4 linked regions of the Drosophila melanogaster genome follow. The gene in region 2 interacts genetically with the main gene of each other region. Each region holds a gene or a part of one and is shown on either strand. Other genes may lie near its edges.

Region 1 (5,003 bases), 3.0 Mb from region 2:
CCAGTTACATTTAAAGTTTTCTAATACGGGATCCAGTCAGAAAACCAAAGCCAATAAATACGCAAATAAGCTGTGTGTGACTCCGACCCAACGCTGCACCCACGCTCCTAAGCATTTGGCCTTGGCCATAAAAGGGTAAGTATACCTCAAGTATATCATGTATACGCCTCAGGCGAAGCAGCTATGGAGCACTGCGATCGTTTCGTCTTTGGATAGTCTTCGCATTATTTTGAGGACTCGAACGATTGCGTAATGAGCTTGGAACTTTTTGCTGCCTTCGAGCAATCTACGCGTAAAATGTGCAGGATGCGGACGAACACTTTGCACAAATATTTGAAATAAAGTGCGAGCAAGTTTGGAGCATACTTGGGGCATACTTTCGACACTTTTTAGGTTGATGGACCACCCACATACCTGGCCTTAGTTCAGCAAGTATTCCTTTCAGATTTTGCTTGAAGATTCCTGTGAGTGCGTGGACTTGGTTGATGAGGAGCAAAGTTCCGACTAGTCTGCGCGAAATGTGTTTGTTCTAAGGAAATCCACTGTGAAGAGCGTGCATTAGGCAGATAGGCTTCCTGAAAGACAAACAGAGACACAGAAGGCGTCGTTTAGTTGTTCACAGTGCAGAGTTCTGGGCTTCCAGGGTTATATGGCTCCCGGGTTACGGGTTTCAGGGTTCGGCGGGGTCGAGCCGAACCTAGAGGACTGGCGCTAATTTAAAAATAGCAGACACACACACCAACACCCCCAGGGGTCGCATTGTTACCGATGTTTCGCTTGTCGTCGTCGTTATTGTGCTGGCGTGCCACTTGCTTCGTTGCTTTTATCGATATTTCTTTATTAGGGTTTCTTTTATGGGAGCGTGCACGTAAGTGCCTTTTTGAGTGGGGAGGGGTTCGAGGAGGCGGGTGCCACAAGCAAACAAGATTTTTACTTTACGTAATACGCGCAGCAAACAAATTCGATTTGACTCGGGTCCTGGAGTCGTATTCCTTTGGCGGCCGCCGTGTTTCGCTTTTTTCACTGATTCCGATTACATAAGGCTGCGCTTGCAGTGGATCACTCAGTCAACTGGCCGAGCAATTGAATTAGCTTGATAGAACAAATTCGCTTAATCAATTTAGGTTTTCAGTCGTGCTTTCGAGCTCGGGCCGTTCGTCGCTTTTTAAATACTACCAATGTGAGCCAGTATCGACATCGTGCGGGCACATATGTGCCCCACACAAACCCTCTATGTACACGCACTTGCTCTAGTGTGTTGGTGCGGGAGTGTGCTGTGTGTGTCCGTGCGCACTGGCAGTGTGTGTGTGCTTAATACTTTTGCTTTGCTTGCCACTTTTCACTAGACCGTCGCTATGTTTTCTCGGCGCTTCTTACTTCATGCTATGTTCGCACTCTTCTGCACGCCACTGCCAGAGTACCCTACACGAAAAACTCGGTAAACGTGGCTCGTTGCCGCTGTTCCGCATGCGAGCGCCTTACAAAGCGTTGGCGGAGGCAGTGGCGTCGGAGCCGACCGCGCCGCTGCGGCCCCGAAATCCAGTGAATAGCGGGCTTCGAGGGACCGAGCTTTAGCGCCGTCCGAAAATTCTCGGGCTCGGGTTTGAGTGCTTTCCCGCTCGGCTTGCCGAGAGAAAACGAGCACCACAGGCACTCACATAGATAAGGGCAACAATGGTGGGGGTGGGACTCGTTTGACGGCAAGATTGCAGGACCGCCAGGACTGAAAGAACCCTACCCTGCCCCCTTTCTCTATCTCTCTGTCTCTCTAATATATTTATCTGACTGCTATTTTTTGTCTGTTACATAATTCGATTCCCCTCTATCTCTATCCCTCTCAATGTCTTTCGCTCTCACTCTCTTCCTCCTTCGCTCTCTTTCTCGGTCTCAATTTCTTGACTTTTTGACTTTGAAATCAGCAGCAAAAGCGCTGCCTACATTTGGGAGATGGCGCCTGCGCCGAATAGCGTATACGCGATATCGATTCGTGGCGGTCGTGTTAGTGTTCCTGTAACATTTAGCATCAGGCTATGCCGTACTGATAAGACGCTCGCTGTGACTACGAGCCATTATCACCACTCGGAGCGAGAACCAGCCGAACTGCACCGCATCCCTCGGCTGCGCCCTCAACCCACTGGAACGGCCTTTGTTGGCTTGTCAGTGCCACTCTCGTTTGTTTGCACACATTCGTGTGTACATGCTGGGCGGACTGTGCTGACCAGGCAGCAGGAAGACGGGACCGGAAGCACATAGCTTTAAAGGAGGAAATTGCAAAGATCTGGCCACATCCGCTCATCTGTCCGCCATCGGACAGTGGTCGGGTCAAAGTCTATGTCGTGACAAGAGCTCCTATCAAGGTTGCCAAGGGCGCAGGAGAATACTCCAGACTTCTAATTAGTGCGACACAGATCCGACAGTGTTCATACCAATATGGCCGACTAAGATGGCGTCATTGTTTTCCGCTCAATCAATTATAATTTCATAGCGTTTTGGCAGACAGCTTGGTGGATTGGCACTGAATGGGAGGTTAGCTGCCTTCCTCGCCCGTATACAACTGAAGTTCACTCCAGCAAGTCCTTGCTGCACAGCGTGAGATAATTTTTCCTCCACAAATTGCTTATTACTTATGGCTCGACAAAGCGAAGCTCATTGTTTAGTATGATAGTCACGACCTGGCCACTAGGGCATTAAAGGCTGGGGACATAGTCCACTGGCCATTAGACCGCTGGCGTGGGGGACTTGCGCGGAAGGAGGGCGGACCGCGGACCGTGGGGTCTACCTAAACAGTCGGTCACGGAGAACCACAGGGCTTGGGTACTTTCCCCACACCAATGCACGCTACACTCTGCAATATCGCACTGATTGCCACTCGTCACGGACCCGTATACAAACCGAAAAGTTCGCTCTGGGGCGGTGGTGCTGCTGCTGGTGACCGAAACTACATTAACTGCCGAAAACGTTATACTGGTAGCCAGCAGCTCTTGTGGTAACAACAGCCGCCGAAACGCGAAGAGAGTCCCCAACGCAGAGAGCACTGCTGTCAGTTTTGACAGTTGGCCCCAAACAAAACGAAAGCTTGCTGGCCGAAAGCTTTTAGCCGAATTGTTGGTTAATAACGACTTTCCCTTCTGCCGGAGACGGCGTTCTTGCACGCCCTGCTAGACAAGGAGTCCCCTTTCCCATTCCTCATCAGTATTGACTGGCACGCTTACATAAGCCTCGTAGTCTGGCGTTGCGATAAATAAAGTGCACCATGTACGGGCAGGGATTGCTCGGAAGCGGAACCGGTGACAGATTATCCTCCGCTAATTTCTGAACATGTGAGCACCACATCCTTTGTGGGCCTTGCTTTTTAACACACCCGCCGGAAGAAGCGTATTGATAGCAGCTAATGCCCGAATTGGTTGTCGATACGCCGGGATTCCGACCAGGGCCTGCTCCTGCAGGATAAGCTCGAGTGCGGCGGAACAGGAAATTCCTGCGGGTTTTTGCGTGGGAGTAACGGTGGCAATTTATATAAATTATTTAATTAGAGCATACACGTCATAATGGGAAAGTGGGATTGCTTCATCGCCTATTTGCCCAGTTATGATTATTTTTTTCAGGCGTATTTCGCACATTCGCCTCCCGTATCATCAGACGACGTGAGGAAAATTGGCCACATTTTGCTCACTGCTCCAGCTTTTTTAAGAGGTAATGACAGCCAGGAGACCCGTTCGCCTGGACATTTTTAGCAGCATTTAGTTCAGCCGCGATAATTTATATGGCTTCTTTTTTCATAGACTGATACGTTTAGGTGATTAAAAGTATCATTAGTAGATTAGTAGTAGAGTTCTTCGACTGTTGTTTATTAATTACAACAGTATGTCTATACCATTATAGGAATTATACAAATATGCTCACAATTAATAAGTGCGGATGATTTAACAACTTGTTATACTCGTTAAATGGTGTACTATCTTCGTTGAAAAGTATGCAACAGGTAAAGGGAAGCGTAAAGTATAAATATTTGTGATCAGCAAAGTCAGGAACTATTAAAGTTAAAGAGTTGAGATTGGACATGAAAATTCCATTCATTCTAAATGTGGTCACGCCCAATCTAACGCTCACCATCCACCCAAAACTGCCATGCCCACAACTTTTGGAAATGTTTTCATATTTTTTTAATTTTGTTGTAGTCTTTTTTGCAATCGATTTGCCGAAATACTTTTTACCACGCCGGCTCTAATGCACAAAATCCGCCCAAACTGCCATACCCGCACTTTTTAATGTTGGGTAGAGATTTTTTGATTTTATAATGTCTTTCTAATTTCTATCGGCATCCTAAACATTTTTTTGCCACGCCCACACTAACGGTATTGCTGAGGCCGTGTCCCCGCCGCCGCGAAATTTACAATTGCTTTTCTTCTAGGTATTTTCAATTGGCATTTGTAAATTGAAGTTATAAGTCCCCCGTCACAAATAATGATATTGAAAACCCGCCGTCCAAAGCAGCCAGAACTGCCGCCTTGATGGTTGGTACGGTCGTTTTCAATCAATGAGAATTCGCAAAGATGACAACTCAAATTTTCCCAGTTTCAGCTTCAGCCACAGACATTGTCATTTCGGGCCTGCAAAAGCACAAGGCGGCTGCCGCAGGACGGCGTGCGGGCTTAAGCTGAGGGATGCGGCGGCTTTAGCGTCTAGCTGCAGAGTGGCTAAATTTAAAACGGTTTCATGTTGTGATTTTGACAAATGATAATTTTCCGCATGTGCTTGTGCCAGTCTTTGTGTTTGATATGTCAGCCGAGACTCGACTGAAATCGAGATACTCCTATCTCTGTGGCCCGGCGCCCATGCCTCCATGGCGGTCGATGAGTTGCTCATTGTGCAGGGTAGATAACTGTCCGGAATTCCGGAAATTCCGGAATCATTGCCGACAAGAAAACGTATCTCAAAGGGTCGTTAGGTTGGCACACACGCCTCTGCAAGGCGGAATAGTTTCTTTTGTTACAAGGACTTTT
Region 2 (7,063 bases):
ACAGCATCTAACGTGAACATACTCAAACTCAACCAATTGAGTTTCATAGCAAATACAACTTACATACAGTTCCCTTTGAGGTCTTCGTACTCATTCTTTAGATTTGCATCATGCAAGCACTCGAACTTATTTTCATCGCTTCCATCCCAACAGTCGATCTTTCTATCGCAATTTAGAGTTCCATTTAAACACCCACCATAAAAACCCTCCTCATCGCAGACCTTGCTATAGCATAATTCGAACCTTTGATCTGGCCGATCGGAACTTTCATCTGGCAAACAATTGCCAATTATTGTTTTTAGTATTAGACTTCAAGGCAAGCGACCCATCTAATAGTAAGGAAAGCAGAAATGTGCAATCCAATGATATAATAGGTATCTGTTAGTCTGTACTCTTTTGTATAAGCAAGAATCTCCTCTTATCAGTGCTTTAAACTCTGTTAACTATAGTATACTCACAGAATTAAGAGAGCTGATAAGACACGTATTAATGCAAATAATTCGCAGTGCACATTGTTTTATATAATACCTTTTATTACTGAAATTAACCATTTGATGTAGCTTACAATTACAATTACATATAATGTAGAATTATACACATCTCATATAATTTGGGTTCCTCTGCACAAACTCTTTGCATATGTATTGGTAATTATTGTTTTTCCATTAGACGAATTGAAGTTTTGATTGGACACGAATTGAAGTTGTATCTGCGATTCTCGCGAATCGCTATGTATGCTTGTATATATCCTTATGGTTGTATGCACGTAGTTATTCAATGAAGTTTAATGCTCTAACACTCAGTTTACAAAATATACGTAGAAGCGGGCTGATGTCTATATAGATCTGGTATAGTTTATAATTGTATTCAGTACACTTAATATCAGTAGTGGATAATGATTCGGTGTCTTCGTTAAGCTATGCTTTCATCGGGGTCTCCTCCATCCGTTGCCTTTAAAGGTAGTGCCGCTAGATACACCTGTAGTGCTTATTGCGTTCGGTTTGAGCTATTCGTGAGTGGTTATACTCTAGAGTATGTTATTGGTAATTGATTCCTACATGTACTATGCTGCTTACATTATTGTATTGTGTTGGTTTCCTCTCCGAATCAATGTTTTCTGACTTTTTCGATCGATTTGTGTGTGGTTTTGTAGCTTCTTGGTGCTAAGCATTCTGCTGCGTGTTCTCTCTAGATTCAATTTGGTTTAGTTTTATTTGTTTCATTAGTTTTAGTTATTTGTTTTTATTTTTAAGAGTACGTATAAAGTGTTAAGCAGTAAGCATCTATCTTTGCTTCGTTCTGGACAAAACTTTAAGAGCTTCCGGGGTGTGCAAATTTGATGTCTTGTATCCATTAAAGCGATGGTATACTTTAGGTCTTTACAATCAAACTAAAATATTCAAATAATTAAAATTAAATTGTACAGACATATGTATGCTTAAACGTTAGATATCATAAATATTTTATACAGATGTATGGTTAATAATATATCTTTTGAGGAAATCAACTTCAGTGGTGGGCACATTAAATATAACTTCAACTATTTGATATGAAAATCATACATGAATATATAGCAACAAAGTCGGTGTCAGTTTAAAATATATTGAGAATTCCCCTGCCTTGCTTATTCTCATATTTAAACATGTCTATATTGAGATGTTTCTGAATTATCTTACACTTACATGCACTTTTAGGGTCCTAAACATTTTCTAATACATTTAATTTAGTTAGTGGTTGCTTGGTAAATATTTCTTTTCTGCTTGTGGCGTTAACGGCCAATTATCTCGCATTAATCTTGCTTCAAACTCAAAGCAAGTGATCTCCCAGAAATCAAGTGAAATATAAAGTAGAAAGTAGAAAATAAACTCAATCAATATGCAATCATATGCCAAAAACCAAAGAGAAATTCATGGTGGCAACGAGGTCACATGACTCCCATTTCGGTTGCCTGCTCCTGCTCCCTTCCCCCTCATTAAGGGGCGCCTGCGCCCAGGAGGTTCCTGCCCCTCCCCTACTCGTTCAGCTTGTGCCACTCGGCGATCTGGCGGCGCGGCGAGTTGCAAACCTCGTTCCAGTGGTTCAAGGCGGTGCTGCTCGAGTTCGGGCCGCCCAGCTCCAGCCGACCGATGACCTGTGGAAATATCGAGCGTGCAATTATCCAGCTATTGGCATTAGGTCATCCCATGCGACTTACCTCATTCTTGGTCACGCGATCCCAGTCGAGCAGCATCAGTTCCAAAGACACACCCTCAAGACTGGCGCCAGCGCCCTGTAATTGAGATATGCACGTTAACTTATGATTCTTTAAAATTATTATAAAAGCTTTTCAAAAATAGTCCGTCCATGTTTAAGTTCTATGATAATTATACGAACACAAGAAAACAATTAACAATTAATCTATGCTAGGTAATTGATATGGTGTTTCGTTAAACTACAAACAAATAGTAAATGAATATACTATTACTCACTTCGGCGGCGGGAATATCGAATGCGAAGCTCTCGTTGAAAACGGGGCTCAGAGTTCGTTTCTTCACGTGCGTCTTCTTCTTGGCGATGCGTTGGCCATTGTAGAGGAGATATATCTTAACATACGGATCGGCCAGTCCGGTGACATCCATGCGCGGTAAGTTTCGGGCCTTCAGCAAGACGACGGTGAGGCGACCGGCAGCTGGTTGCCAGCAGAGGGAGATGAGCAGCTCCCCGCGACCCTGGGCTCGAATCTTCAAGCTCCGTGGCTGGATCTCTTTGCTGATGGACAAAGCCTCTTTGGAGATGTCCCCGATCTCGATGGAGGTCAATGGGCACACCACTTCGCCAATGACGTCGTCACGTGAGTATCGATCGAAGCTGAGGATGACAAAGTGCAGCGACATGTTCTGCAGGTCGTTCATGTTCAGGCCGTAGAAGGTGAAGTCCTCGTCGTAAACCGGGTTCCGGGTATTTCGCACCACCCGGGTCTTGACCTTGTGCTGCTTGTCCGGCAGCAGCTGCAGCTTGACATACGGATCCGTTGCCGCCTGAGTGCGTCCATTCATGCCAGTGGGAATATCTCCGGTTCCGCTCGATCCTCCCTTGCAGGGGAGTCCGCGACAACGGATGATGGACACCATAAGGGCGTTCCTTTCGGCCAAGTAGCGCAGCTTAAAATAGATGGTACCCAGCTTGCCGTACTGGTCGGTCACGGTCAGCTCCTTCCCGTTGGTCAGCGAATGGTCGTCCAGGGTAATGGTCACACTTCCGTTGGCGATCGTCTCTACCGGCGAGTGGTGAAGGCTGTTGTGCAGCGAGTGCTTCAACCCATTACCATCCACCACGGTCAGTTGATTGCCATTCTGCTGCTCCGCATGCTGGGCGGGTCCATCTCCCTCCTCGCTGTACTTGACATTCGGTTGCGCAATCGGGGAGGTGGACTGGTCCTGCATCGGCGACAGCAGTCCCATCTGCTTGCCTCCCGTCGGCGAGGGCGACTTCTTCAAGTAGTGCGGCGGCTGGCCGCTGGGCGATCGAACGGCGGTCGGTCGCCGGGTCGGCTGGAAGGGGAACGAGGCGTCGTGCTGGCTCTGTTTCTTGTTCCGGAGGCGCATCTGCCGGGCGCAGATGCAGGCCACTGACGAGAGGACAGCAGCCGCAGTCAGTCCCAGGATGGCGGGGACAACTGAAAGGACAACAGGTATGTTAGGCAACATATGCATAGTTTAGTTGTACCCAAAACGTTGTCTTCGATTGAAATATGTGCAAGGTGGTGATGGGACAATGTCACTAGTGTAACCTTAAAGCCATAAACAAAAGTAAAATTTACTCGTATTGTGTTGGAAGTTTTGAAAAACCCACTGTTAACTAGCACTAGCACCCCATTCCAGATTACATATATAGACGCTCAATATGCAATCTCAAAATTATATAATGGGATAATTAAAAGAATTTAAAACATAATAGAAAATTATATAGAACATTTTATCATTATAAATCTAATACCGAATATTAAATTTAAATATCCAATAATAACAAAAAGCGTTTTATTTTCTATCTTTTACTAATATCCGAAAACACAAAAGAAAACGTTTAATCACACTTTTGAATATGTTCTGTAATTAGTCACCGAAATGAAAAAATAGAAAGAACTTTTCTCCCTAACACAGCTGTGAGTTGTTTGTAGACTTCCTTTGTTATTAGAACATTAACTTTCGCCAATTCGTTTTGAGCTTATACATTTCACCCCAAATAAAAGAGCACAACAAATAACACATGTGCACGTATCCCCTTCGAAACCTGACAATCCAGGCACAAAGACCCGAATTAATTATTCATAGCCACCGAAAAAGTTTGGCACAACTTGTGTGCAACATTTTGAACAAGTTGCTAATGAGCAAATTGGACTGATCGACCACTAAGGTCGCATTGGATGCTGCAATATGGTATGGTACTTACTCGTGTCCATGACGCTGGCATCTGGGATATACTCTTCGGCCATTTTAAATGGATTTGGCTTAGCCGCTCTCAGCACGTTTCCACTCGATGTTCCTGGCGGCTGTGTGGAATAACAATTAGTCACGGTTTAAAAGTGAGGAGGAAAAGTTTTGCTGGCTGTCTTTGGATGTTTGCAACTTTCGGTGGCACGTGAAGAATTGCGTGCTTCGATTTTGCGCACAAATGTATGCTAGAGGCTTTTTCGTGAGCAGCAGCTGCCTGCTTTCTGCTCAGGTTATGCTGACGTTTGGCTTTTGTTGTTATTTGCATTACTTGAGGACACCCACTCAGGCACACTTTCTGGCAAGAGAGCGGGAGAGACACACACACACACACACACATATGAGCCACTTGGGTGCTCTTCTAGGGTCGCATGAATCATCGCAGCCCTTGCACACACGCACACGAAGTTTGCAGGTTTTTCAACTTCTGGAAACCATTTTTAATGGGAAGTCCCACATTTAGAAATGTTCCTTTCTTTCATTTAGGTCTTCGTAACGTTTTGAAAATATTCCCTTTTACTATCACTTCCAGTATCTGTATCTATTGTTTATTGCAGCATCAGAGATTCTCGGAAAAGCCATAGTAGCCACTTGATAGTTTTTACGTTTTCCTCGTAATCCTGTTTACGCCTACATTTTACTTGCTTGAATGTATTATAGCCTTACTTTTTTGTATCTGGTCCTGCACAATTAATATCCAAAAATTGTAATATTTTTCACATCCACAAATTGTGGAAAAAAAATCAACAACGCAGTTCTGCAGCCGTTCGACTTTATTTTGCCAGTGGCTTCTTAACTTGGCTGGGAAATCGTTAAACTCGCGCAGGCGCACGAGCAAGCAGCTTTTTGTGTGGGTTGTTTAGCCGAAAGCGGTGGTTGAAGAAACCTGTGACGTCTTAGCCGAAGTCAGGGGTGCTTAAAGAAAGTTTTACAACACTAGACCATATTCATGAGTAAAGGGTTGAGTAATAAAATACATAAAAAGTTATAAAAAGGTAAAATTTAGACCAATTTAGACCTACTCATTGCAAACACTCAAAAGCTCCCGGTTCAGACCAAGTTTCAGAGAGCGCAGCTTTGCGGCCAGCTTTAAGCTGTCTTTCGTTGAGTTCGAGCTTTTCGTCAGTTTAAAAAGACTGGCGCCTGCTGGTCAGAAGCTGAGTCGGTAACGGTCTGCGTCTGCGCGCAGTTCGAACAAGTTGAGAAAGAGACCAACAGAAAGCCCATCCAAGTGCAGTGATCAATACGGGTAACTGACAAAAACCCTAGAAGTCAGGGCTTAAAAACGATTTTGCAGCGCTGCCAGTGTTTTTGTGTGATAAAAAAAAGCGGCTCAGAAAAACTTGCTGACAGCAGATAGCACACACGTTTTTGTCGTCTTCGGGCCATTGAAAAATTTTCCCGAGGCATTTTCTATAAGGAATAAACAATTAATTCAATATTTAAAGCATAAAAGGAAACTAGACACCACATCACCGGACTCTACGATCGTAAGTTGATGCAATCGTCTTTATTTCTATTATTTGCTGCCTTTTCGGTTTTTGCACAACCCCAAAATCCAAAAATTCGCGATGTCCGTTTCTGGCATTGAGGAATCTCAAAAGATTTGGACAGCTTTTTGGCCCGAAGTCTGCTGGAAATTTGCCATTGTCATAAGCCCAAGAAACGGAATTTTGTTCGGTCTTCTGATGGCTCACGGCGATAAATTTACTGCACTTTGTTTGCAATAGCTCCAATTCGATTCGTTTGTTTTTCTGGCACAGAGCACAGTATGCCTCACGATTTCTGCTCTAGACACGTTTCTAATTTAGTTACTGGTTTATATTTCTTTTTCCACACATATCAAAAACGGTCACCCATTGTCTGCCATTTGACCACTAATCTGTTCGATTTTGTGCTCAATTACCCAGGGTATTATTCGAATGAAAAAGTGCCCACATTTAGGTGTTTTACGATACCAGCCAGTTCATTAAACGTCCATTGCAGTATTAGGAAATTAGCCCGGTTTCTCACCCGATTCCACCGCTTATTAGCCACCACCTCATTTTGACGGAATGAGTCGTATTGTAAAAGACAAACTACTTGCGCTTATTTATGTTGAGCACATTTCTTTCGATCCCAATTTCCGTTTGGTGCTAGCTTTGAAACCGACATATTCAGGCTAATAAGCCTACTTTTTTTTCATAAATTACGTTTGAGTCAGTATTATTTCTTATTTCAAACGATATTTCTATTAATATAAACAGAGGAGAAATATTTATAATCAATGATTAGTCATGACAAATATCAAAATCCCCAACAAATTAGTAACACCTTTCCTTTTAAATGAAATGAGCTGATATACACAATTTCAACGGAATCTCTAAAATATATAATCATTATAGTAAACATTACAGTCATGAAGAGGGTAGCAAAATAAAAAAAGTGATTCCCAACAAAATGTTAACTTTTGCAAAGGAGCTTTGAGCTAAAAACGCACAGGACTTACACATTTCTTTTGAACAAATCAACAAATAATTCCTATGCTCGCACATTTACACCTGAACCCATTAAAAAAGAGTTCGCATTTGTGTGCCTGGAAATAAGGTATCTCG
Region 3 (6,436 bases), about 17 Mb from region 2:
CTGCTTCAGAGCCCTCACCTCCTGCGATTCGTTCATCTCCAAAGTGATGGTGCGTTGGTCCAGCATGCGTATAGACAGCTTCATCGTTTTTGTTTTGTTAAACTTAATTTGGCTGCGAGAATTTGTGATAGTTATGTGAAAGTGCGGCGGTTGTGTCATTTGGTGAACCAAATGTCAAATTTGATCTACATACAGCCTTTGACATACTAATCAAAATCTATTTTGTGTGTCATGTACTCGCGTTACAGGAAAAACTGGCCAGATATTGTCGACAGCGACGACAGCGATGTGGATAATCAGATAGATGTGGACAACCTGCCACCACTGGAGGTGGGTCCCGGCGAGAACCGGCTGCAGCACACATACTGCCTCTGGTTCTCTCGCAAGGAGACGCAGCGCGCGGCCGCCGACTACAGCAAGTCGCTGCACATGGTCGGCCGGTGCGCCAGCGTGCAGCAGTGGTGGTCGCTCTACTCGCACCTCATCCGGCCCACCGCCCTGAAGCCCTACCGGGAGCTCCTCCTCTTCAAGCAGGGCATCATACCGATGTGGGAGGACCCGGCGAACAGCAAGGGCGGCCAGTGGTTGATACGACTACGCAAGAACAAGGTCGACCGGGCCTGGGAGAACGTTTGTATGGCGATGCTCGGGGAGCAGTTCCTCGTCGGCGACGAGATATGCGGAGTCGTGCTACAGACGAAATATCCGGTGAGTTCCAAAGATCCTATATAATGTCTTATTTGGGGAAACCATGCCAGAATACCTTTCTTAAAAATCGGTATTTTTAGAACCCATAAATATAGCAAACAATAGTAAATATCCTTTACAGGTATATTCTAAACAGATGGCTTAAACTATTTACTTTTCTTACTCGATTAAATCAAATTCGTTAGAAAATTTAATTGTAATAATTTCCTTCCAAGTTTCTATGTGAATTAGCATGTAATTTTCGTAACTTTAAATTTCTAATTGAACGAAGTGAATTTTTAAATATTGCTCCAATAGGACCAGTGTTGGGCAACGTTTCGTAACAGTTCACTACCCTTGGTGTTACTTAATTTTTATATTTATTTATAAATGCCGAGCATATATATTATTGCATTTTGCGGCCTATTCCCCAGTTCCTTTTCAGCTCGCGATTCGCTTTAACAAAAGTGCCGGTCGCGATTCATTCATGAAAATTCTCGCGCATGACGTATCTCAGTGCGAATGGGATCCACAAACAAACCCGTGCTGATTGTTGTTGCTGTTGTGTGGGACTGACGTAATGGAACTTATGTGGCGGCATTTTTAGCACATTTCAATACGCGTTTTGCAAAAGTGAAAAGACGAAAATGCCGGGCAAAAGGGAAAACAGAAACCACTTGCAGTTTGTTTTTTTTTTAACAATCAAACGTATAAGGCTTGCACAATAAAGTCTTGATTACATCAGCAAAATATTATCTTTTCCACGCTTAGCTTTTAAAATGAAGATGAGCAGATATCAATTAAATTATATAAAGAGAAATATCCTGTTCTATAAATAATATAAAATACCAAAATTTATAATATACCAGGAAGAGATTGCAGGAGCTCCAGCTCTTTCTCTTAAGATCCACATCCAAATACATCCACATAATCACTTGATTCGCGAATCATCGAAATTGTGAGAATTGGTTGGTGTCCCCGCTTAGTCCTGTTTTTAGTCTGGTATTTTTAGCTACTCAATGTAGTTATTTAATAGGAAATCATTGCGAACCGGAAGGTATATTCTGGTAGTGACGGCACGGTCACACTCGAAAATTGTTTGCCCGCGCGAGGTGCTGTGTTTCGTTTCGGCTCGCATCGAAATCACACAAAAAAAAACTCTTGGCCGCCGGGAAAATCGCGAAACAATATTTGGTTTTTTGTGAAAAAAATCAAAAAAATATTGTCAACACATTTGCCTCAGATAAATACAAAGAAATGTGCATGTGAAACGATTGGTGACAACAACAAATCGTGGAACCCAGACAACCAGTGTGCGAGAGCGTGATAGGTGGTCGTGCGTCCCTCTCAAACACACACCCTGAATCGGCGCCGACGACGCGTACGCAACAAACGAAAATAAAACGCAAGCGAAAAGGAGAGAGAAAGAACAAATAACGCCCACCGTAACACCCCCCGCGAATAAGAAGAAGCAAAGTAGATAAAGCAGAGAAAGACGAAGAAGCAGCAGCAAAAGCAGACGGCAGAATTGGAGCTTTGCGCAGAAATCGATTTTTTGCCCATTTTAAGAGATTTTCGGTAGCCTCTCCCACTGCCGAAAATCGTTTATTGCCACTGCTGCGTGCGTGTTTGTGTATGTGTGTGCGTGTGCCAGTGCGAAAGTGAAACAAACAAATTCGCCGAGTAAAAGATTAATATTATATGGTACCAGTGTGAGTCACAAATAACAAGAGAGAAAAAAACAGAAAAAAGAAAAATTAATTCAGCAGCAGCTTTAGCTTTTTAGCTGCTGGCATTGAAGAGGTGCTCTGCCGCAGTCGACGTCTCTGCCGCCGCCCGCAACACGAGCTCTCTTTGCCTCTCTCTCCGTCTCTCTTGTGAGCGAAATAACACCACACCAAACGACACACACACGAAAAAAGCATAATAATATTAACCAAAACGCCAGCCAAAGTGCCAGTTAAGTTATAATTATACACTAAAAGTAAACCGAGCAAAGAGAGAGCTGCCAGCCAAAAGCGGAAAATCAATAAAAGGTCTCTCGCAAAAGTGGAAAAACGTGCAAACAAGTTAAAAGCAAGGCTGCAAAAAAAGAAAAAGGAAAAACTCCGCGCGCGTTTACACGTGTGGTTTATGTGTGTGTGCGTGTTTAACGTTTAACTGCTAATCGCAAAAACGCAATCTGCGAAGACCGCGTAACAAAGGCTTACGTAAAGCTTGGCCAAGGGAAAGAGCCAAATAACAACGAAGCATAAAAAACAATATTTAAAAAAATCCAACAAATTTTGAAAACTGCACCGTAAACAAGGATAGTCCCAGAAATTCGAAACTCCCCAATTATCAAATCGAGAATAATCTTCTCGCACACCCTTCAAAAACCAGGATAATACCCCGACACAAAGATGACTAAAGACAGATTAGCCGCTCTCCATGCCGCCCAATCCGATGACGAGGAGGAGACGGAGGTGGCCGTCAATGTGGATGGCCATGATTCCTACATGGACGACTTCTTCGCCCAGGTGGAGGAGATCCGCGGGATGATCGACAAGGTGCAGGATAACGTCGAGGAGGTAAAGAAGAAGCACTCGGCCATCCTGTCCGCCCCACAAACGGACGAGAAGACCAAGCAAGAGCTGGAGGATCTGATGGCCGACATCAAGAAGAATGCCAATCGCGTTCGCGGCAAGCTCAAGGGCATCGAGCAGAACATCGAGCAGGAAGAGCAGCAGAATAAGTCGTCGGCGGATCTGAGAATTCGGAAGACGCAGCACTCGACGTTGTCACGGAAATTCGTCGAAGTGATGACCGAGTACAATCGCACGCAGACCGACTACCGAGAGCGCTGCAAGGGAAGGATACAGCGTCAACTGGAGATTACCGGACGACCGACCAACGACGATGAGCTGGAGAAGATGCTGGAGGAGGGCAACTCGTCTGTGTTCACGCAGGGCATCATCATGGAGACGCAGCAGGCCAAACAGACGCTGGCGGACATTGAGGCCCGCCACCAGGACATCATGAAGCTGGAGACATCGATCAAGGAGCTGCACGACATGTTCATGGACATGGCCATGCTGGTGGAGTCGCAGGGCGAGATGATCGATCGCATTGAGTACCATGTGGAGCACGCTATGGACTATGTGCAGACGGCAACTCAGGACACCAAGAAGGCGCTCAAGTACCAGAGTAAAGCCCGACGAAAGAAGATCATGATACTGATCTGCCTCACTGTGCTGGGCATCTTAGCGGCCTCATATGTTAGCAGTTATTTCATGTAAATCTCGAATGCAATTACTTACACGCCACATTCACTCCACACACACACCTCTCCACACACACACACATTATATATCTCATCCAGACCCGATCTATATACATAGGATGTTGCGCAACCCACCCAGAGAAATTGCAGAAGACAAAATCGAAACTTAAACTGTAAGAGACCGCAACCAGTGAACCCCCGATACAAAAAAAAAAAAGAAATGCACACGAAATTAGGGCTCGATTACACCAATTATAGCTATTATAATATATAGAGAAATCATGTATGGTTAGTAAGCAAGAGTCTCAAGTCCCCAGAGTCTATCCCAAAAACACATGAAACTCAAGTTATAGCTACCAGAATCTTTAGTACTTGTAAACAAATTGCTAATTGAAAATTTATAAAACCAATACGAAGAGAGTTGAAACACAAAAACTACAAGACACGTAATTGCAAACAAAGAAAACATGAAATTTTATTGATTATTGTTATAATGCGAAGCAAAAAAAAAAAACGAGAATTGTAATAAAAAGAAAGGAACAACACTACTCCACTCAAAACACACACAAAACACACTCATTGCAAATGCTTTGCAGGGAAAAGTGAAAGAAAATCTTGTTGATTTCCTCGTCGTTTTTCCGACTTTGAAAATGCATTTAGTTTTTGTTCGTTTAGCTAGTTTAGTTCTCCTGTTGAAAACTCACACAAAAGTAGCCTCATCACTCACACACTCACAACACCGATGAAGAAGAGAAAGATGCAACAAATCTCTAGTTCACTTTTGAATATTTATGATAAAAAGATTGTTTATTATGCGATATAATAACTATATTGACTATTTACTATAATGCTATTTACTTAACATGTTCATATTTATTGAATGCATATGAAATATATAAATTATACAAACACAGCGCATATATATATATACAAATATAAACCTAGATAAATAGCTAACTCGGACATTCTCAATGGAGATGATAATGCGAAACGAAAACATGAGAAGTTGAGGAAGTTGATGATGGAATGCCGATTTTAAAGGGGTAAACAATTCAATCACACTCACATATATAGACAGCTTCAAATTAATCGGCAAACAGTTAAATTTAAAGTTGATTATTCAGTTTTTTTCTTTGTTTTGTTGCGCAAACAATTGAACAAGTTTTTGCGTTTGTTGTTTAATCTACCGGAAAAACTAGTTTCCTTTTGTTGATTTCCGTTTTTTGTAATCGCCAGAAAAGTTAACAGAAATTAATGGATTTCGGTTTCAGCTATGATTTCATTTCTCACACTCACACCGCACCGCACACACACAGTTTGTAATACTTTTTCTTTCTAATTAACCTAATTTATTTTTCCTTTCTTTCCTCCCACCGATCCACATCTGAAAAACTAACAATCGGAATGCAAATTCAAAACTATACTACTCATACATAACATCTGGCATGCGGCTGTAAAATCCAATTTAACAAATAAAATCAAACCAATCAACTCAACTTTTTCTGCACTCACAATGAAAAACGAACAAATCATATAGAATCCAAGCATCCAAGTAGCATGCTCATCAAGGCCTATAATCTGCATTATCTACACACGTTTTGTAGTACAATTCGGAAAATGCAAAATCATTATAGTTACTAATAACAATAAACGCAATGTGTATGAGTTTTTGACAATTATTGTGATTAAGATACACGAAGAAATGCTTTCGCTTCTAAGTAGGAAATGCAAATTTGTTAATGCACCAAACGAACTGGTCACGCGAATTGGTCGATTTCTGTTTTGATCACACGAAATTACCAACTGCAAATGTCAGACCTGCATTACATGCACGTTTATTTCTTATTCAATTCGTTAATTCACCTTTTGATCTTTTGAACGAGCAACGAATAAATGGGAAAATGAAAACCCAAAACTGCAACTACAACAGCAATAGCGCAAATCAGCACGTTTTCACCACAAAAACAAGAGCAACAACAACTGCAAAAAAAAAAAAAAAACACCCAAGTTAACCGAACGCGTTCAGTGAAAAGAAAATCAAAAGAAATATTACTACTTCGTATTATGTCAATCAATCAAACTGCGATTTAATTTTAACCACATAAAAATGCAATCTAAAGGCCCGACAAATTCGAAAAATGATTAAAAATAAACGAAAAACGCGACTCCGCCCTGCCACGCCCTTACGTTCATTGGAAGTTCCAGTCCGGGTTCCAGTGTTCCAGCGCTCCTGACCCGCAGCTTCCAGCGCGAAAAACAGCTGCATTGCTCCATTCCCACACGCTGAGGTGAGTAATACGCTATAATTATTCAACATTTAGCATTCTTTTTATCGGCAATTCCCGCAATTACTCTCTCTACGTTTACGTTTTCCCTCGCGGCGACCATTGAAAAATCGCCGAAGGTCGCGTTTCCATGTCCTTTAAAGTCCCCATCGCCACCCTCCGCCCCTTTTTGAAACACCCACCCGCCCCCTTGAAGTTCCGC
Region 4 (4,701 bases), on a different chromosome or scaffold from region 2:
GGGTCATCTATCTCCGCCGGTGGGTTGACTGGTGGCACAAAGTCGGTCAGCAGGGAACCCTCTTTGATGATCTTGTGGTCTAAGCGAATCTCAAAGCTGTTATCGGGACGGACCACCAGCTGGTAGAGATGGGGTAGCTTGTCCGTGAATGGCACTCCCAAACGGGCATTTGGCTTTTTGCAGTGCTTTTCGGTGATGTTGCCATTTAATGGATTGACGTGCCGGAATATAAAGTGCATTTTCAAATTGTTGCCGCACTTGTCCGGACCAAACATGATGGTATAGGGTGTCTTGTCATTGAAGCGATTTAGTTGCTCCGTGCCTTTTCCGGCGGACAAAAGCTTCAGATACGAGCCGCCACAGTCCTGACCCTCCTGCAACGTAAGCTCGTACTGCACCACCAGCGGCTTGTTCGACTTGAAATCGAACGGCTGGCGAAAGGGGGCGGCTATGGCCGCATGCTTGGCCTTCGACTTGAGCACCAGACCCAGATCGTTTGCCCAAAAGATGCGTTGCGGAGACTCCCAGTTCCAGATGCCATCGTATTTGGCTATCTCATCGGCGATGTCGTTCTTCTTGGCCTGCGACAGTACCCATCTCTTTCGGGATGCCTCCACGTCGTCGAAGTGATCCGCAAAGTAAAACTTTTCGGCATCGATCACCGGACTCTTGTAGGCAAACTTCTCATCGCCATAGATGGCGCCGGGCTCTATCTGCACATCCTCCACAGAGTTTTCCGACTCCGGGGCCAAATAGCCGGTTTTGGCCGCACTCAGCAGCAACAAAATGGCGAAGAGCATTTTCCAAGCCATTTTCACACACTTTTCGCTTGCTCGCTTACTCAGAGTTGGAATAGATAAGGATTGACTGAATTGAGCCTTGCGTTTTTTTAATATAGCGACGTTCGAAGAAATTAACGATTTTTAACGATTTTTTGTGAAAAGTGGTTGACTTGACTGAACTGAGCCTTAATGCGTATGACTTTATTGACGCCGCTTGCTTGTTTGTATAAATTTTGGATTTGACTTACATAGATAGCTTAGTAATAGGTAATACGATTATGATTTTTAAAATGTAGATAATATTATAAGCACTTCATTTATTTGAAACGGTCTAACACTACCTTCTACCGCTACTACAGAAAATGTGAGAATTGAATCTAGATTCGGTTACGGATGTTCCTGCGGTCTTCGGATATTGGGCTTACATAAGCAGCCTCCGCTAAGGTCAAAGCACTCTTTTTCCATTTGCCAATCTGGCTGCGTGTGTGTATGTGTGAGCGCGCCAGTGTGTGTGCGTGTGTGTGTGTGTGTGTGTATCGAGCATAAAAGTAGGTCAGTTCGATATTTCGCCACACTCACACACACACGGAGGCATGAAGCATAGGGTAGCGTTCTCACACACACACAGAGTGGCAGTGGATGTGCCAATATGAGCATATATTTATGTGTGTCTGTTTCCATTCATGACACTCGCAAAATTCTGTTTGCCGAATTAATTTTTGGCCATTCGCTGGGTCGATGAGTCATGCGAAAAACCGCAAACAAGAATTGAAATAAAAAACAACCCGAGCCGGAATTTGTGTCAATATGCAAATGACACATGACAAACACATGAGCGAAACGCAAAACGTTTTCCTTAGCCAACCCAAGGTATCGATTTGGCAATATAACACAGAATATCTGCTACCCTATTAATTGTTGAACAAAATTCGATGGCAAGGAAAGGACTAAAAAACTAAAAAAAAAAACAAACAGAAACAGCAAAAAACTGAACGAAGTTAGCATGTTGTTAGTCAATGAATTTTGCATGGGAGAGCGCAATGGGCTGGCGAGAGAGCGAGGACTCTCACTCTCCTCCTGCCTGCGCCGAGAGAGCCAGTGCCCTCTCTCTTGCGCTCTCACTTCTCTGTGTGATGCCGCCAACAAACACGGACTACAACAATACATTTTTGGGTTCCCTTCTCTCTTAACGAACCTCCTTTCAATGTGTGCGTGAGCAAAGGAATTCCGTTAGAAACACCCCCCCCCCTCAACCTTCATCATTCATTTTTTTCTGCTCTGCTCTGCTCTGTTCTTTTTTTTTTTTTGTGGCAGCTGAAAGTTTGCCCTCCAAAAGCCAGCAAAAGGTTGTAGCCCAAAAGCAAAGGGGCGTGCCAGTGGGCGGGACAAAAAGGGGCGCAGATACCCCATTGATATGGTCTTGAGGTCGGGCCTGGTTAACTGGGATTTTCACCAAGGAGGCATGACATAATCGAGCCAAGTTCATCAAGTCGCCCACTGCTCCGTTCACACTTTTCTAGCTATTCAAATATTGAAATACATACGAAAGACACAATTGCTTTCTAAATTCTCATTTGACGTGCAGCGTAAATTGCCCTTTTTGGTATTCTATATTAAAATTGCAATCGATGGGAATACCAAATGTGGGTTTCTTAAAAACTTTCAATGAAAGTTGAACCATTGACCCAGTAAAATGTAGTTCTCTTTGACCAAAATGAAAAGTAAATTAATGACTTTGTTTTGAGCTGAGAAGTAAGTTAAGTAAGAGCTGAGAATTTCTAATATAACACATTGTTAGCCTGTTTGCTCTAACATAGATAACATAATTATTTTCAATACATTTCCACTATGTGTTAATTGTAAGAATTCATCATAAAAGTGGTTCTTTTAGACTCGAAAGATCGTTTAGTCTTAAGAATAAATCATTCAAGGTATCGGAAATAGTTGAAACTCAACAAATAAAAAATTTCACGATTTTTTTTCCTCTGTTTAGGGTTAAATATCATTAGCATAATTAAAAGTGCAATGAATGTGATAATAAAATACATATTAAATGGATTTTTTCGATTGCCTTCGATTACCTACCGTTAATCGATGTCTATCGATGTTGTGCCTGGCTGCTCGCTCTATCCGCTGATGTTGTTGTTGCTGTAGTTGCTATTGTGGTTGTTGTTGCTGTTGCTGCTTTTGTTGTGAGCGTGCTTGCTTGTATTGTTGTTGTTGCTGCTGCTGCTAAGAATTGTTGCTGCTGTTAACTACTGTTGTTGTTGTTGTGGTTGTGGCTCTGGCTGCTGCTGCTGTTGTTGTAGTTGTTGTTGTTGTGGCTCACACATTTACAGGCACCAACACACACGCGACGCACTCACACACATATGCATACATATACATAGATATATATATATATAAATATATATATATGTATATTTTATATATATATATATATTACGGAGACGAAGACGAATAAAGTTGAAGCGGTAGAACAAGTAGAAGATGAATTTGTTGTTTGTTTTGTTTTTTGGTTTTTTTGTTTGGTTTTTTTTTTATATTTGTATTTTTGTTTGCTTTTATTTGTTTTGGTTTTGTTTGTTAAATCTGCATTATCATTGGGTATTTGAATTGGTTTTTTTATTTAATTTTTTTGCGTGCTTAACAACAACCAAGACGTGTTGCCAGAAATTTTCATCAAACGTTGCGTTTTGTTCCCAGAGCTGTTTCAATTTATTATTTATAGTTAATGTTAATATTATTTGTTGTATTATTTCTACTAGTATCTGGCTACCTGGCTGGGATATTTAAATGAGTTTGCCTCGGCTTGGTTTCTCAACTGTTGCTATGATTATAATTGGTTTTCCGTATTATGACTAATAGTATTATTATTATTATTTGCAGATTTTATTTCGGTTTTAGTTTCAATTTCGTCAGCGTCGCCTGCGGAAAAGCGAACAAGTTGTTGAAACCCAGCTTAAATTGGAAAATTTGATGGGAAAACTCATTCACAAAAGGTGACAGAAATGTAAAAAAAATTGAAAAAAATATTATCGGAAGAAAAAATTTCGAATAATTTGTATGGCCCACTAAAAGCACCCCCTAGTATTGTTTGAATGGCTTGAAATTATTTTTTTTAATATTTATTTCTTTTTATATGTTAGATTTTCTGCTGTCCTTGTGCCAATTATGTGAATTATGTCGTTAGTTTATTTGATTCCTTCTACTAAACTTGTTATATTTCTTCAATAGATATTTAAAATGGGCTTGTAAATTGTATTCACACACTTGATGGCTTTCACTTAGACACACGAAAAAAAAAACGTAAAATGAGCACTCAATTGGCAGGATAATGTCTCACTGGATTGGATGCACTGTAAAAAAAAATGTCGAGGCAGCGAGTCGCGGCTTGTTTGTGTTTATGCAATTTTCGCGCGCACGTGAAACGCAGAGCAGTATTGAAAAAGGACACAAGGATGCGGAAAAAAGTCGAGCACTGAGCACTGAAAAAGTTCCTCCTCTCTGGGTAACTCCGTTTTCGGGCGAACCAGGCAGTTGTCCGCCGTTTCGCCGTGACTTCCTTTTATCCGAATTTGCCGCGAAAAGGAGCAGAAGCAGTTCGCGCGTGTGTGTGTTTGTGTGTGTGTGAGAAGTCCTTTTCGCCCTAAAGCATTTGCCATATATAACCACCCAAGTCGTTGTCAACACAGGTTTTGTTGTGCTACTTTGCCACCCTGTTTTTCGCTGCTTATCCTTTCGCCCTTCGCTATTCTCCGCCATTTGCCACATACTATTCGCCATCGCCGACTCTCATTTTTTTATTTGTCTTTGGTCACTTGTTCTATTTTTAGGTCATCAAGCTGATATTCCACGGCTCTGCTCTGCCCGAAAATTGCAACAGTGGGTCATTATTTTTGGGCGTTTGGCACCAGTT

The links.
Region 1: of Syt4 (region 2) and cpx, changing one suppresses a phenotype caused by changing the other (phenotypic suppression), as found in Drosophila melanogaster (one study listed by BioGRID).
Region 3: of Syt4 (region 2) and Syx1A, changing one suppresses a phenotype caused by changing the other (phenotypic suppression), as found in Drosophila melanogaster (one study listed by BioGRID).
Region 4: of Syt4 (region 2) and para, changing one suppresses a phenotype caused by changing the other (phenotypic suppression), as found in Drosophila melanogaster (one study listed by BioGRID).

The regions. Positions count from the first base shown.
Region 1 is NT_033777.3:4,278,246-4,283,248, reverse strand, and holds the start of cpx (complexin), read right to left. Parts: upstream 3,029-5,003; 5' UTR 2,893-3,028; intron 2,865-2,892; exon of another isoform or gene 2,427-2,864; intron 1,545-2,426; exon of another isoform or gene 1,246-1,544; intron 1,086-1,245; exon of another isoform or gene 767-1,085; intron 625-766; exon of another isoform or gene 576-624; 5' UTR 415-575; intron 1-414. UniProt on the Drosophila melanogaster protein: Positively regulates a late step in synaptic vesicle exocytosis.
Region 2 is NT_033777.3:7,264,261-7,271,323, reverse strand, and holds Syt4 (synaptotagmin 4), read right to left. Parts: upstream 5,260-7,063; 5' UTR 5,136-5,259; intron 4,529-5,135; 5' UTR 4,472-4,528; coding exon 4,429-4,471; intron 3,656-4,428; coding exon 2,469-3,655; intron 2,270-2,468; coding exon 2,195-2,269; intron 2,132-2,194; coding exon 2,012-2,131; 3' UTR 515-2,011; downstream 1-514.
Region 3 is NT_033777.3:24,101,097-24,107,532, reverse strand, and holds Syx1A (syntaxin 1A), read left to right. Parts: upstream 1-1,769; 5' UTR 1,770-3,089; coding exon 3,090-3,961; coding exon of another isoform or gene 3,962-3,965; exon of another isoform or gene 3,966-5,486; coding exon 5,487-5,505; coding exon of another isoform or gene 5,506-5,735; 3' UTR 5,736-5,933; downstream 5,934-6,436. Other genes in the region: CG10694 (uncharacterized protein), read right to left, coding at 1-84; eIF4EHP (eukaryotic translation initiation factor 4E homologous protein), read left to right, coding at 249-708, 5,487-5,735.
Region 4 is NC_004354.4:16,524,410-16,529,110, forward strand, and holds the start of para (paralytic), read right to left. Parts: upstream 3,006-4,701; 5' UTR 2,868-3,005; intron 1,007-2,867; exon of another isoform or gene 813-1,006; coding exon of another isoform or gene 1-812. Other genes in the region: Cnx14D (calnexin 14D), read right to left, coding at 1-812. UniProt on the Drosophila melanogaster protein: Mediates the voltage-dependent sodium ion permeability of excitable membranes.